Nothobranchius furzeri: one gene and its partners. The protein of the gene in region 1 binds, or shares a complex with, the protein of each later gene. Links are inferred from orthologs where the notes say so. Each region holds a gene or a part of one and is shown in the gene's direction. Other genes may lie near its edges.

Region 1 (5,167 bases):
TGTCATCAAGGTCCAGAGAAACCTGTTAATCAGGTGTGTTGAAACAGAAATGTCTAAAATGTGCTGGATTGTTGTCCTGGAGAACCAGGAAATGACACTGTATGTCTTTTAGCATACTTGGGATCCACCGATACCACTTTTGTCCAAACCGATACGATACTGATACTTGGATCTGAGTACTCGCCGATACTTCTACCACACAAATAATGCAATGAATTGGAATACAGGTTTTATTTTCTTCTCTGCTTTCAACAGGAAAAGATTGTGAGGTAGATAAAAAATAAAATATATTCATAGAAATGATCACAAAACTGAAATATTAGGTGAACAGAAATGACAAGTTATGGTGAAGCCACTTTCAGGCAACTGCATTGGTATCGGTTCCTGGTTTCGGTTGACTTTTACATCCCTACTTCTATGCCAGCATTACAGTTTTCTTTACTTCATAGTTTGTCTTTTTGACAGGCTGGTTACATGAATAAACTTTTATTAATTTAGAATATAAAAAAACAAGATCTGAACTGGTAACTAGATATAAACTGGAAAAATAGGTCGTGTCTATAAGCCCAGAAAGCCAAGCTGACGCTAGGCACACCCTCCTACAAAATTCTCAAAATTACTCTGACTTTTTTGTTTGATAATTTAAAACACATTTTGCAGGTTGTAATGTGTGCAAACAATAAAGAAACTGTTTTGATTTCTGCAGATCGACTAAGGTTGATCGATTTCTTATTAAAATATTGTGAAAGGATATTAAATGTCCATGGAAAGACATCAGCTAAAATATATGCACAGAAATTTGAAAATGTTCAACAATCAGGCTTCTTAAATGGAAATGAGTCGTGGGCTTTGGCACAGAGCTATGTAGCTAACAGCTGCAGTGATACAGCAACTTGTCATTATTTAAATGTATCCGAGTATTAAAGCTCAGCAGAAACTATCCGGACATGTACAGCTGTTACTGTCATTCACATTGAAGTCCAGTAGAAGACACAGACATCAATGACAGTGGGCAGTAGCATAAAATCTCAAATGACGCACATACTGCTAACATGCTAAGCTAACTTCCCACAGGACACCACTTTTCTGCGATTTACAACAAAACGGAAATGTCATTTCTGCTGGGTTTTTCCCCCCTGCTGTGACAAAAGCGTTGCCTTGTCCCACACATGGTCCCACAGCGAAAAACGTGGTTTAGGAAAAGGGGTGGAGAGGCGGGAGGAGACGCTGGGTCACCATAAACATAGCTTGCTAGTAGCTACCGCTCCTAAGCTAACCCCAGCCTCCAAACTACAACGTTTTCTGGCGACGCGGCGGTGAAGTTCATCGCTGCTGCCGCTTTAAACCTGCAACCGGACTCACTGCGAAGGTTGTTGACAAGCTCTGCGTGGCTGGCTCCTCCAGATTTCCAGGCCATTATTAAGCAGACTTTACGGAGTAAGTAGACAGCAGCTGTAAGTGCCGCGCCTGCGCCAATAGTTTTACCAAAGAAGCTGACAACCTCCAGAGCAGACGGCGTAGCGGCGGATACGTCACTAGACATCCAAATGATTTTACAGAGCAGAGCCGCCTCTCAGATGCACGACCAAGCAGAAAAATATGTCATTTTAGAATATAATTAATCTGTTCATGATGCATCAAAGTCAGCGTCAGACGAAAGGGAATAAAAGCCACGTTCCTCAGCCATGCAGTGCTTTATCAGGTTTTTGCCGCAGTAACAACGGAGACGACCGCTAGGTGGCGGAATGTACAAATTCACATTTCTTGCGAGAAACGCAGATCAGATTGTTTGATCCTGTTGAGCCACCGTACTTACGTTTAAAGCTAGTGGGTGCGTACATAGAGCTAAGCTAACATCAATAAGAATATTTTTCGTATTTAGGCAGCAGAAACGTTGGTTGTTCTCATGGAGAGTGCTAAGTACGTGTCCCAAAAAGTCAGCAAGGCCAGATGGCGTCCTGTGTCGTCTTCGTTTTTACAACAACCAGAAATCTTTGCGACGGGATCGTGGGACAACGAGGTTGGCTAGTTGAATATTTTTGGTGAACCAAATTTACCCAGTTTTTCAAATGTTCTGTGTTTCTCCTGATTATGCACACTTACACGTTGTAACTGTCAAAAAGGATTTAACACTTGTTACACATAGTTTGCTTTTTTGTGTGTCTGTCAGGTTCGTTTTGGTCATTTTTTTTGCAAGGATGTGGCCTTTATTTAAAAAAAAAATTATTTCTGTAGGAAAACAAGATATCTATTTGGTCCGTGGGTAATTACGAAAATTCGGGCCTGGAAGATGGATTTGAAGGAGATCCGCAGCTTATTTGTGAAAACAAGCACGATGGAGATGTTCTTGGCCTCCAGGTAAGACGCTGTAACAATAATGTCATAACATACTAATAATGCAATTATTCATCACCATCAACTTTATTTATAAAGCACTTTACATCGACCAGAAGACAGACCAAAGTGCTGTACGCACTTTAAAGAAATTAAAACAACAATGAACCCTGCAGAGATGCACATAAAAACAAATAAAGTACATTTTCTGCGCATTTCAGAATTTTGCTAATACAGAAGGCAAATCTGTTGTTCTATGCATCAATAGTTTTGTTTCTTTGTAGGTCTGCAGGATTTCTCAGTGCACAGCCTTGTTATAGTCAGCAGGAGGATTTGCAACACAGACTCATTTGTTTTGCAGCCATTCTGTTGAAATTTTGACACGTGCGTGGGACATTGTTTTGCATGACTCAGTTTTAGTCGAGCTTCAGCTGTCCAATTCCTCCAAATTAGACTTGATTATACTACTTGATTATAGTTCCTGGATCAAGAGAGAATCGTCACGGCCTCATCAACGGGAGCAGTCACCATCTTCCGCCACCATCACAACAGTCAGGTGCAGTAGAGCTTTCATAAAAGATGTCAACTCCTGTATGAAGGTTGTGTTGCTGCCTTTGCTGTTTATTTATAAAATCATTTTTTCTTCTTACATCAGACAATCTCAGTTTCCCAGCAGTGGGTGAAAGCGCACCATTACCCCTGTGACAATGCTCCCTGCACTGCAGTTGTGTGCAGCAGCCCTGAGATCATCACAGTTGGGGAGGACGGCAGGATTATTGTCCTCAGAGCCGACCAGGATTGTATGGCTCAAGTCATAGGTGAGATTAAACCACCCCATTCAGAACTCTGTACACTTTAACTCGGTGTCAAGTCAACATGCTTTTGCGGGTACATTTGGTAGAGAATGCTGACAGCAGCACGATTCATGCTGTGACTTACCTGAGGACGACGGAGATTTTGACTGTGAACTCCATCGGACAAATAAAGCTATGGGATCTAAGACAACAGAGCAACTCGGCATCACAGATTCTGTCCTTGTAAGATCCGCTTTAGCACGTTTTCCCCATTTTTAATTCTACTATTTTGCTGATGTATGTGGATTTTAATTTTCCTCCAATCAGGTCAGGAGACAGAGTTCCTTTGTACTGCATTGACAGACATCCAAACCAGCAGCACATTGTAGCCACAGGAGGCCAGGATGGAATGCTCTGTATGTGGGATGTGAGGCAAGGCAGCATGCCCTCATCCCTCATGGAGGCCCACTCAGCTGAAAGTAAGATGTACATTTTTAATTATTTAATGGACATATAATTTACACACATATTTAAATATTTTTCACTTTTTTAATGCTTTTTGTCTAACTTTCCTGGCAGTGTGGGAGGTCCACTTCCACCCTACCAACCCAGATCACCTGTTCACGTGTTCAGAGGATGGATCGCTGCTGCACTGGGAGACGTCCTCCCACTCAGACATGCCCTCCTTTCTACAAGGCAAGTCCTATTCATCATAATAATCATTATTATTATTATTATTGGTATTCAGTTTAAAAGGCTGCCTATGTACTTCTTCTATTTTCTTAATTATAAAGATTCTATGGAAACACAAAAGCCATAATCAAGAAAATATCCAGTTGAATGTTTTACTGAAAGTTTACATTATTTAGGGTTAAATAAACAAAGAATTTCCTGATAATGTCCAACACCAGGTCAGTCTATTAAACATTGTCATGTTGTACTATTTGTCGTAATTTCACTGTAAAAAGTGTTATTGTTGTGTTTCCAGGTAGCAGAAACAGCAGCGTGACCTCTCGCAGTGCGATGGCCCTTGCTGGAGGAAACCAGTCCCTCATCAGTGCCTGGCTCAACGGAGACTCCAGTAAAAGCCGCCTGGAGACGACCCACATGCTGCCCAGCCAGACGCTGTCTGTCAACAGCTTGGATGTGCTTGGACAGTGCTTAGTTTGTGGAACTGATGGAGAGGCTATTTTTATCAACAAACAGGTCCCAGTTTAAAAGATCTGGAGGTGACTAATAAATACATGAATGCAAATTTTAATTTGATGTTTTGTGACACATTGGAAGACTTTTTTTTTGTTACACAAAAAGCCAATATACCTACGCAATGAAAGACCTCTGTGTCTGATGCAATGCTTCATTCTTTGCAGTGACAGAATATGGATTAGTGTTTTTGTATGTCATTCTGTACACAATTGTTCAGATTAATAATGTTTTGTACAGATTACTTAAAAAACAATAAAGAAATAAAATGTAACTTTCTCAAATTGTCTCAGGATGTTACGTTTTTTTATACTGACAAATCAAGTAAAATTGTAAATCAAACCTACCAACATAAAAATGTCAAAGTCAGCCTTGTGAGCTCTTATGTTGCTCTGTAAATTTACAAATAGATGTTATGTGCTCACCCAAAGGGAAATTGATTTATTTTTATACATATTAATGCTCTTATTTTTTTATTTCTAAGATTTGTGCTGTGAAATGTGTTTGGACTTCATTAACAGGTTAGCAAAAAAAAACTTATAAAAAAAAGCATTAAAATTTTCTTCATTAGTTTTATTAGTGTTATTTTGTTCTAAACTTAGCAAAAAAGTAATTTCTCCACTGACTTTTATTGTGAAAGTCCAGCGTCTGATGGTGCGTCGTTAGCTTAGCTGTTGTACTTGTCATTCAGATATCCCAGGAATTCAACAAGACTAGGAACCAGTCGGCGCGGAACAACAAGGGCATTTTAACTTCAAATCGCGTCCTCGACGCCGAGGAGGGTCAGCAAACCACTACTGTCCGTTAATAATAGGAAAAGCGACAGCGGCGGACTT
Region 2 (4,571 bases), on another chromosome or scaffold:
AAAGGTTTATGATGGGTCAGTCCTCCTGCATGCTCAGATCATTCCCTTCCCTTGCTTGAAAAATTGTTCCAAAATGAAAGTTGAGCCCACATCTTTTTTATCTGTGAATTCAATGCCGTTCGGCGAGTCTCAAATAAAAATGTGGGCATCTTACTGTAAGAAAATATACCATTAATGTAAAAAAGAAACTCAAAATGAACTATGTTCACATCCAGAATCAAACCCAGGTCTTCTGAATGGGAGTCAGACGTTTTACAAGGTGAGCTACACACCCGTGAAATTCACAGTATCTGTAACTTTTATATCCTTGATGACACCTGAAACAACGTCAAACCAAAGAACGGTTCAAAGTGAAAATGGCTATTTTGTTGCTAATTTGCAGGAAATATCTAGAAGAAAGTTCTACAGAAAGTAGCTAAGGGTCCTCAGAAATGTAGCTAGCTTTGTCACTAGGCGTTAGGAACAGCGACAAAGTGGCACTGCCTCTCTCTCTGCTGCTAAAGCTACGGATAGCAAATGCTACGGGTTATGCCTGAGCGTGAACGTGCATGAAGCAGCCTGCTCGACCCGAGCATCTCTCTTTTTCTGTGATTTTACAGAAAAACAGGCAATCACAGTAAAAATGCCAGGGCTCATTCTACAGGACCAGGCATTGCAGGAGAATGTATGAAGAAGAAATGTATTATTTCTGTACATGTTTTGGCTGTCACACTTCCATAATGTCCCTTTAAAGACCCACTTTTATGATGTGGCTTTTAGACAGTGACTCGTTTTAGTGTTTTATTGTGTTAATGTTTTAATGTGATCTTAGTATTCCTCATGTTTTATCTGCTTTTGATCGGTATTTTTATCTTCTGCTTTAGTTGCTTGGGTTGGTTGTGTTTTGGTTTAACCTGTGCAGCACCGTGAGCAGCTCCCACACTGCGTTTTAAACGTGCTATATAAATAAACTATGGTATGGTATGGTATGGTTCATATGTATATTTATTTTATTATGCGAGAAGTGAGACATCTTCACAAAGAGAAAAAAATAAAACACAACTCCATAGAGTTGGAGTGTTTTCGAGCCGGTCCCTGTAAAACCGAGTCCGCTGCAGCAGCAAGAACCTGAACCACGTCGAGGGTGTTTGTAGTGACAGCATGCCAAGTCCATCTGTGCCTGCGCCTGAAAATGTGTGAACCGCTATCTGTTTATTCTGGTGATATGTGTGTGTTTTTCTTGTCATAAGTGAGTTAGTGTAATTGTGTGAGTAATTGCAGGCGCTGGTGTATACGAGGACTGATTAGAGGGGAAAGTCCTCTCCCTGGCTCGGAACAGGGTTTCAAACAAAGACATGCGTACATGGCGTGAGCGATCTTGTTTTTCTCCGTGTTTATCTTTGCTTGCAATTAGAATATCCCTGGCAGTGTTTCCACTGATCCCAGTCCAAGTTTCTGCCACACACAGACTCTGACTCAGAGGTGTCAGCCCGGGCGGCTGCAGGTGTGTGTGCAGAAAGATGTCGTGTGTCACCGAGTCTGTTTTTATGTTCTCTCTTTTGTTTATTTTTAAATCTCCCCTTTCTTTTCCTCTTCCTCTCTTTGCAGATTGTGCACCGCTGCAGCAGACAGAAAACTACGCCTGCTGACTTCTGATCTTCAGGAGCGGCACGAAGTCAAGGTAGCGCAACATCTGGAGCACATTGGCCAGAAACTTCGCTTGTCATTAGGAGTCTCCACGATCAAGTCTAGCAGGAAACAGATCTGCAGACTTAGCAAAGCAACATTTGCAGAAAACATTTATCTACCAATTTAATGGAATTTTTTTTCCCTTACCTGTAGTTTTCTCATGTTTGTTGCCTAGGCGATGGAGGGCCACACCAGCTACATTAACCATTTGGTGTTTGAGCCCACAGAAGGGAAACAAATCGCTTCCGTCAGTGATGATCACACTTGCAGGTCCAAACTATTTTATTTCTCTTTGTGTGTGTGTGTGTGTGCGTGTGTGTGTTCGTGTTCATTCCCAGCTTCTAATTTTCAGTCCTGTTTTTGGTTAATGGTGCAGAAAGACCTGACTGCGTTTCCACCGTGAAACTTGACGCTAAGCACAACACGGTCCAGTGTGACCGTGCATAAGCACAGAGCTGCTTTGTAGCTTCCTCTTGCTAATTGGTTAAATATGGAAATCCAATTAGCTGCAGTGAGATTTTTTTTCCCCCCTCTTAACAAGGATTCCTAAATTTTCCTTTTCAATTAAGGCTGGAAAAGGTGAAACATGGCGTCACCAGTGAGGGTCAGTGCTGGTTTTAGCTGCTCATTAGTGCTTATTTATTCATATTTGCTGTTTCTTTGAACTAGTGGTGTCAAGTCCGGCTCCTTGTTAGGTGTTGCTCTTCCCAGACGTTAGATCCAAGTCAAGTCAACTTTATTGATAAAGCACTTTACAACAGCATAAAAACTGACCAAAGTACTTAACAAGCCAAAAAGAACAGAAGTTCCCTAAAAACTCTAAAAATAAGATAAAAAGTTCATCACAAAGTAAAAACATGATAAAAACAAACATATCAAACTGACATAAAAGCTACTAAAATCAGATGCATTCTCAAACTGAATTAAAAGCAACTGAGAACAGATGAGTCTTTAAAAGTGATTTAAAACCCGACAGTGACGAAACCATCCTAATCTGAATTGGGGGTGCATTCCACAACCTTGGAGCTCCATCACCCCTGAGCTTGCTCTTTGTTCTCGGCACCTCCAGGAAAAACTGGTCGGCTGACCTCAGTGACCGAGACGGGGAGTGAGTAACTAAAACTTCACACAGATACTGCGGAGCAAGGCCTTGTACAGCTTTAAAAGCCAATAAAAGAACCTTGTACTGGACCCTAAAATCCACAGGCAGCCAGTGCAGCGAAGCTAAAATTGGGGTATAGTGCTCCCTCTTTCTCGAGCCCGTCAATAGGCGTGCTGCTGCATTTTGCACCATTTGAAGACGGGAGAGGTGAGACTGAGGAAGACCAAGGTACAGTGCATTGATGTAATGAACGCGTGAATCACCGTCTCAGAGTCATGACTTGAGAGCAGACGCTTAACCTTGGCGATCCTCCTTAACTGATAAAAACCGTCTGATTTGCTTTTCCAGAAGCAGATCACTGTCAAGCTGGACTCCCAGACTGGTTTCAAAAATAGGCTAGCGGACCAAGGTCAGCAGAACATGGCCCACTGGACACACTAGGACTAAAAAGCATGACCTCAGTCTTGTCATTATTAAAATGTAAAAAATTTGCAGACATCCAGGTTTTAACCTCATCGAGGCAGTTTAGAAGAGGATCTAAAGAATTGGGTAGGCCACGTTAAACGGGAATATAAACCTGGGTGTCGTCTGCATATAGATGAAAAGAACATCCATGTTTCGTAAAAATCGAACCCAGAATCCAGTGGTTGGATGATCTCCTTAGCATGACCTCTGGCTCTGCAGAAGCAAAGAAGAGAAGTACTGAAGTGGTTTGAACCCTTTAGTTCAAAATGCTTCAACATTTCTAACTTGGTGCACATCTTTCCTGTTTTGAGTATTTTGCATCCTTTAGAAATGCTTGTCAGCACGTGTCTGTAGGAATTATAATATTTAAATATTCACTCTGGCATCTGATTAAAAACGAGTAATCCTGCCTTACTTGTCAGGATATATACGCACAGTTAGCTGATGATGAGGTTTATGGTCACAATAAACACGAGCAGAGCCAGAAAAATGCAAACGCAAGCATCTTGGTTGCATTTTTGTTGTGGAAATTCCACATTTATCTGTAAAATACTAATAATCTGTTATGATGAAACATTTAGACGGACACGAGGATCGGTCCACGTCTGTGATCACGCCGTATAAACGTCCTCCGCTCCCAGCTCCCGAACCCCCTCCCGCCCCTCTGCCGACTGTCCAGAGAAAACAGGAGCCCGCTCCATCTGCTGAAAGGTTTAAATTCTGTCATGCTGAGAAAATACGGGACGAGGTAGGAAGACGGGCGGAACGAGGGATGGATCAGGTTAACAGGAGAGTCAGCCCACACAAACGGAGCCTTGATCTGAGAGGAGGGAGGGTTATGTCAGCATGTGTAGGTTCACGACCTCTCCGTCAGCCTGTTGGCTTTGGCCGGAGGGCCTCCACTATAAGTTTGCTTAGTTTTGTCATCGCCGTCCCCTGCAGTGTTGGGACCTCTGCTGCAACCTGATGCTGCAGTATCTAGGCGGGGAACCAGACTCCACTTCCTCAGGCTGTAGTCTAAACAGCTCAGTGGGTCACTATAGATCAGTGGTAATCAATTCAAACCCAATAGGTCCCGTCCTTAAAATTTCTTTCATAACGAGGTCCAAACCTCACGTGTACCTCACCCCATGGCTTACTTATGACCATTAAATCAACTACTTACATTTGTGTTTCATTTGAACAACATTTATTTTTGGTGTTCACATTAAAGGGGCATTATGGAAGTGTGACAGCCAAAACATGTATAGAAATAATAAATGTCTTCTTCATACATTATCCTGCAATGCCCTGGTCCTGTAGAATGAGCCCTGGCAGTTTTACTGTGATTGCCTGT
Region 3 (4,571 bases), on another chromosome or scaffold:
CCATCCCCCCATGTTTGCTGTGGGGAGTGATGACAGCAACGTGACCTACGGCGGGAAGGTTCAGATTTATGAGTATAATGAAAACACACGGTAGGTCCTCCTGTGTGTGTGTGTGTGTGTGTGTACACTCGTACTACCTAAAGGGGTTTCATTACATTTCTCCCTGTTCTGTTTCAAAGGAAGTACAGTAAAGCAGAGACACTGATGACAGTCACAGATGCAGTCCACGATATCGCATTTGCTCCTAACTTGGGAAGGTCCTTCCACGTCCTCGCCATCGCAACAAAAGATGTCAGAATATTTAAGCTTGTTCCTTTGAGGTGATGTCTTCATCCTTGTTTTTCTGCACCTTAGTCTCAGAAGAAGGTGTGTTGTAACAAAGTGTTTTACTGATGGTCGTCTACGCGCCTGTACGTGCTTTGAGTCTGCAGGCGTCGGTTAAACCCACAGGCAGAAGCTAAACTTTTGTTGTGGATCTGTCTGACAGGAGGGAGAGCACCACCACCGGACCAACCAAGTTGGAGGTGCAGATCGTGGCTCAGTTCGACAACCATAACTCCCAGGTGTGGCGTGTGAGCTGGAACATCACCAGCACCCTGCTGGCTTCCTCTGGAGACGATGGCTGTGTTCGGCTGTGGAAAGGTGGGCAGCTGCCTTTGGCTCACTCAGCTGGTTGGATCTGTTAGTTTGTGCAGCGTTCTCAGCTCATTAGAGGAGAAATGAACTCAACGGTCAGCTGGTTCTCTGTACCTAAACTAGAACAGGAGGGGTGAAACATGGAGCCACTTCAGCATGTCCACGCTTACTTCTACTAGTCTGGCTTGACAGAACCTAGAACTCCAACAAGAACTTGTGGAAACCCTATAAATATGTCGACGGTGGAAACAATAAAGCTTTAGTTTCACTGTACATTCCCTTTAAAAGTCAGGCTCTCCACATCGTTTAACACTTAATAACCATTAAAATTAAGTTACAGAGAAAAGCATTGTCGTATCAAGACTTTGTTTACAGCTGTAGCTCATTAGTTTTTATCAGAACATCTGCAGAGATCTCAAGGAGGGATAAATGCCTTGTAAGTCGTACTCTGGGGAAAAATGCTCTGGTGCGCCTGTTGCAGAAACTAGAAGTGAGCCTCAGCAGAGCTGAGCTTCAGACTGCAGGATTTGGAGTTAATCCCGGATATTCTGCGTACCAGTCAGGTCCTGCTTTTACCACCTCAGGCCAATTTCTAAGCTAAAGCCCATCCTGAGTGTCCGTCTGCTTCTCGCATTCAAATCTTTGAACAGTCAGGCTCCTCCCTATCTGTGTGAACTCCTCCATTACTACCACCCTCCTCGTGCTCTTAGGTCTGAAGATCAGCTCCTCCAAACTGTCCCTAAGGCACGTTTGAAGACCCGCGGGGAAAGGACTTTTTCTGTCTGCCCCAAACTTGTGGAACTCATTACCTCTTCGGGTTAGGCAAGCACCCTCTATTGGCGTTTTTAAATCACGCCTGAAAACCCACCACTTCCCCCTGGCCTTCAACTCCCAAACCATGAAGCATGAACTCATCCTTAGATTTTCCACCTTGTTTGTTTGATTTTAAATTTGTGTTTTTATATTCTGGCTTTACTTGTTCTGTTGGTTTTAACTCTTATCTTTTTTTACTTCATATGATATACACGACTATTTTAGCTTGTGTTTTTTACAGGGTATCCGCGGGTCCTTAAAAAGTCTTAAAAAGCCTTAAATTAGCTTTTCCAAATTTAAGGCCTTAAAAATCCTTAAAAATGACAAATAATCCTTAAATACAGTTTCCAGAGGTCTTAAAAGACCCAATAAACAAAATTCTTTTATTTCTATAAACTTTTCGTGAATTTCTAGTTGGTGTTTAGCGTTTTTTGTGTACGTTGTTGGCGTAAGCGGAACCGTACACATTCAGTTGGTTGTGAAAGGGGGCTATTTTTAGATGAGCACATTAGCTGGTTAAGCTAGTGGGAGCTTGCGCCATGGGGAAGTTTAATGGTAACTGGATGGCTAATCCCACGATCATGGCGTGGTTAGCACCGGTTCCAGGCAACAGCTGGAAATTATAGCTTAAATGATAAATGACCCGCACTTGTATAGCGCCTCTCAGAGTAAGGACTCCAAAGCGCTTTACACTACAGTGTATCATTCATCCATTCACACACACATCCACACACTGGTGGGGATGAGCCATGATGTTGCCACAGCTGGCCTGGGGCGCACTTACAGAGGCGAGGCTGCCGAGAACAGGCGCCACCGGTCCCTCCGACCACCACCAGCAGGCAAGGTGGGTTAAGTGTCTTGCCCAAGGACTCAACAGCAGAATTCTCTGTCCGGAGCCGGGATCGAACCTGCAACCTTCCGATTACTGGACAACCCGCTCAACCTGTTGAGCTACTGCTGCCCTGCTTAAATATCTTAAATTTGGTCAAAGTGGCCTCAAAAAAGGTCTTAAAAAGTCTTAAATTTGGCTCTCTTAAACCTGCAGATACCCTGTTTTATTCATTTGTTTTTATGTGCAGCGCTTTGGTCGGTTGTAATGCTGCGTTAAAAGCGCTCTACAAATAAAGTGGTATGGTACCGAGAGGTAGCTTCTGCAGCCCATGGGAAGGGGGACCCACGTTTCCTCTTCAGGCTGTGCCCAGCTGGGTTTCCTGGGTGACAGCCCAGCCGCCAGGGGCTCTTTAACCTGCCCCACTTGCAGACCTGGCTCCAGAGGGGCCCCTGGTGACCCGCGTCTGGGTGAGGGAACACTGTGACTCCCTCGTTCCGCTGGCCTGATGATAGACTTTGTTGTTGTTTCATCTGCCGCATGTCTTGGACACTCGGGTGAAGAGAGGGGTGGAGCTGTCAACTGACCCCTGCATGGTGGTGAGTTGGCTTCGATGGTGGGGGGAGGATGCCGGTCAGACCTGGCAAGCTTAAACGTATTGTGAGGGTCTGCTGGGAACGTCTGGCAGAGTCTGGTTAAAGGTTAAACCTGCAATAAAAGCCCACTAGAGGGCAGTATATAGTTGTCCTCTGAAAGTGATCAGGGAAAGTACTCGGCAGTCGGCCTGAATCTGTGGTCTCCGGGTCTGCAGCGATACCCTTCTCAAAGTGTGCTGAAACCAGAATCCCTTGCAGCTGTTGGTGTTTCAGTCCTGGACAACAAGGCTCCGAGTCGAGGCCTTGCCTCATTGCTTTTCCTCCATTCTGAAGATGAACAAACACTGATGTCACTTCCTGTCTTTGAGCAGCTAACTACATGGACAACTGGAAGTGCACCGGCATCCTGAAGGGGGACGGCAGCCCGTTGACAGGTTCGTCTGGTCAACCCAGCGCCATGAGCACCGTGGTGGGCTCCTCCATCCAGACCTCCCAGAATGCCCTGAACGGGATGTCAGCAGGAAGGTAGGTGGTGTCGTGTGCCTGACGCCACTCACCCCGTCCCAGATGAAACCGTCACAACTGACAACTTCCCTGCCCCTCACACTGACTGGGAGTGCAGCCGCCCACTGACAAAGCTGTTGGACTCACACTGACCCGGTGCAAAGAGCTTGGCTTCTGTCCTCCAGCTGCAGGTTGTGTGTGTGGAGCGGGAGGTGTTTTTCTGCTTATGCATGTCAAAAGAGATGTCTCCACTTACCTAATGTAAGGACTGACCTTGTGTCTGATTTTGGATATGAATGTTGATATGTAGTTATTTTAGGAGATTCAGCAGAGCCGTTGTATTGTTAGGGAGCCTCGCTGGGACGGGCGGTTTCATCTCCACGTCCCGGTGCACCAGCAGCAAAGTGATTCAAAACTCATGTTTCAGAGTCGGAGAAACGCCAAACTCTTTGCTGAGCAGATCGAAACCATTAACCAACCCTGATCCATGAATGTGAGGATGAATACAGCCGTCAGAGTCAGAACTGTCTGTCTTAAACAAAGCTCCTGTTTTAGGAAGTACTGTATGCATTTATGGATTTTCTATAATCTAAATGTAACCATAAAGGGAAAATAACATGGCCATCTGATTGGTTAAGAAGTTTGTGGTTTCAGGTTTGGTCGGCGTTGATGTGAGGCTGTATTCATCTTCTGTTGTATTCATCAGCCTTAGATTCTGTGGGATATTTCAGTCACTGTGAATGAATTTTGAGTGTAATTGTGAGAAAACTTCCAGCTGCTGTAGATTACTTCCTGAATGCCCTCTGTTTGGAGAAATAAGACCAGCTGCCTGTTTAGACAGGTTTGACTTTTTCGTTAAAGCCATCTACAGCGTGGTAATCATTTCTAACTTTTACACTAAAACACATTTAAAATGGCTGAATTATCTCTTGAACATATAATCAAGCTGTTATGTTGTTCCTGTTCCTAATCTGAGTAACAAATGTGTGTAGTATATAACAACTCCTACGACCAGCTGTTTGCATAACTTTGACCACGTCTACCATTCCAGATACACGTTGATTAAAAACAAATGTGAAGTGAGTTTGTTGAAGTTAATTTACTATTTTATTGCTTGTTGCATGCAGGATTGCCAAAAGAGCTTCCTTTGCTCCTCCCCTGCGGCAGCTGACCTCTCCAAAGATAAACCAGAG

What was found.
Region 2: nup43 (region 1) and nup37 share a complex: the UniProt entries of both Homo sapiens proteins name them as parts of the nup107-160 subcomplex of the nuclear pore complex. The link is inferred for Nothobranchius furzeri from reciprocal best matches to the Homo sapiens genes NUP43 and NUP37.
Region 3: nup43 (region 1) and seh1l share a complex: the UniProt entries of both Homo sapiens proteins name them as parts of the nup107-160 subcomplex of the nuclear pore complex. The link is inferred for Nothobranchius furzeri from reciprocal best matches to the Homo sapiens genes NUP43 and SEH1L.

Annotation. Positions count from the first base shown.
Region 1 is NC_091742.1:11,413,795-11,418,961, reverse strand, and holds nup43 (nucleoporin Nup43), read left to right. Parts: upstream 1-1,686; 5' UTR 1,687-1,906; coding exon 1,907-2,020; intron 2,021-2,235; coding exon 2,236-2,358; intron 2,359-2,812; coding exon 2,813-2,890; intron 2,891-2,989; coding exon 2,990-3,152; intron 3,153-3,235; coding exon 3,236-3,371; intron 3,372-3,455; coding exon 3,456-3,607; intron 3,608-3,707; coding exon 3,708-3,828; intron 3,829-4,116; coding exon of another isoform or gene 4,117-4,120; coding exon 4,121-4,346; 3' UTR 4,347-4,615; downstream 4,616-5,167. Other genes in the region: pcmt (protein-L-isoaspartate(D-aspartate) O-methyltransferase), read right to left, coding at 1,363-1,543. UniProt on the Homo sapiens protein: Component of the Nup107-160 subcomplex of the nuclear pore complex (NPC). The Nup107-160 subcomplex is required for the assembly of a functional NPC.
Region 2 is NC_091741.1:39,615,967-39,620,537, reverse strand, and holds part of nup37 (nucleoporin Nup37), read left to right. Parts: intron 1-1,587; coding exon 1,588-1,660; intron 1,661-1,843; coding exon 1,844-1,938; intron 1,939-4,571. UniProt on the Homo sapiens protein: Component of the Nup107-160 subcomplex of the nuclear pore complex (NPC). The Nup107-160 subcomplex is required for the assembly of a functional NPC.
Region 3 is NC_091745.1:49,015,832-49,020,402, reverse strand, and holds part of seh1l (nucleoporin SEH1), read left to right. Parts: coding exon 1-90; intron 91-179; coding exon 180-320; intron 321-487; coding exon 488-642; intron 643-3,245; coding exon 3,246-3,399; intron 3,400-4,505; coding exon of another isoform or gene 4,506-4,571. UniProt on the Homo sapiens protein: Component of the Nup107-160 subcomplex of the nuclear pore complex (NPC). The Nup107-160 subcomplex is required for the assembly of a functional NPC.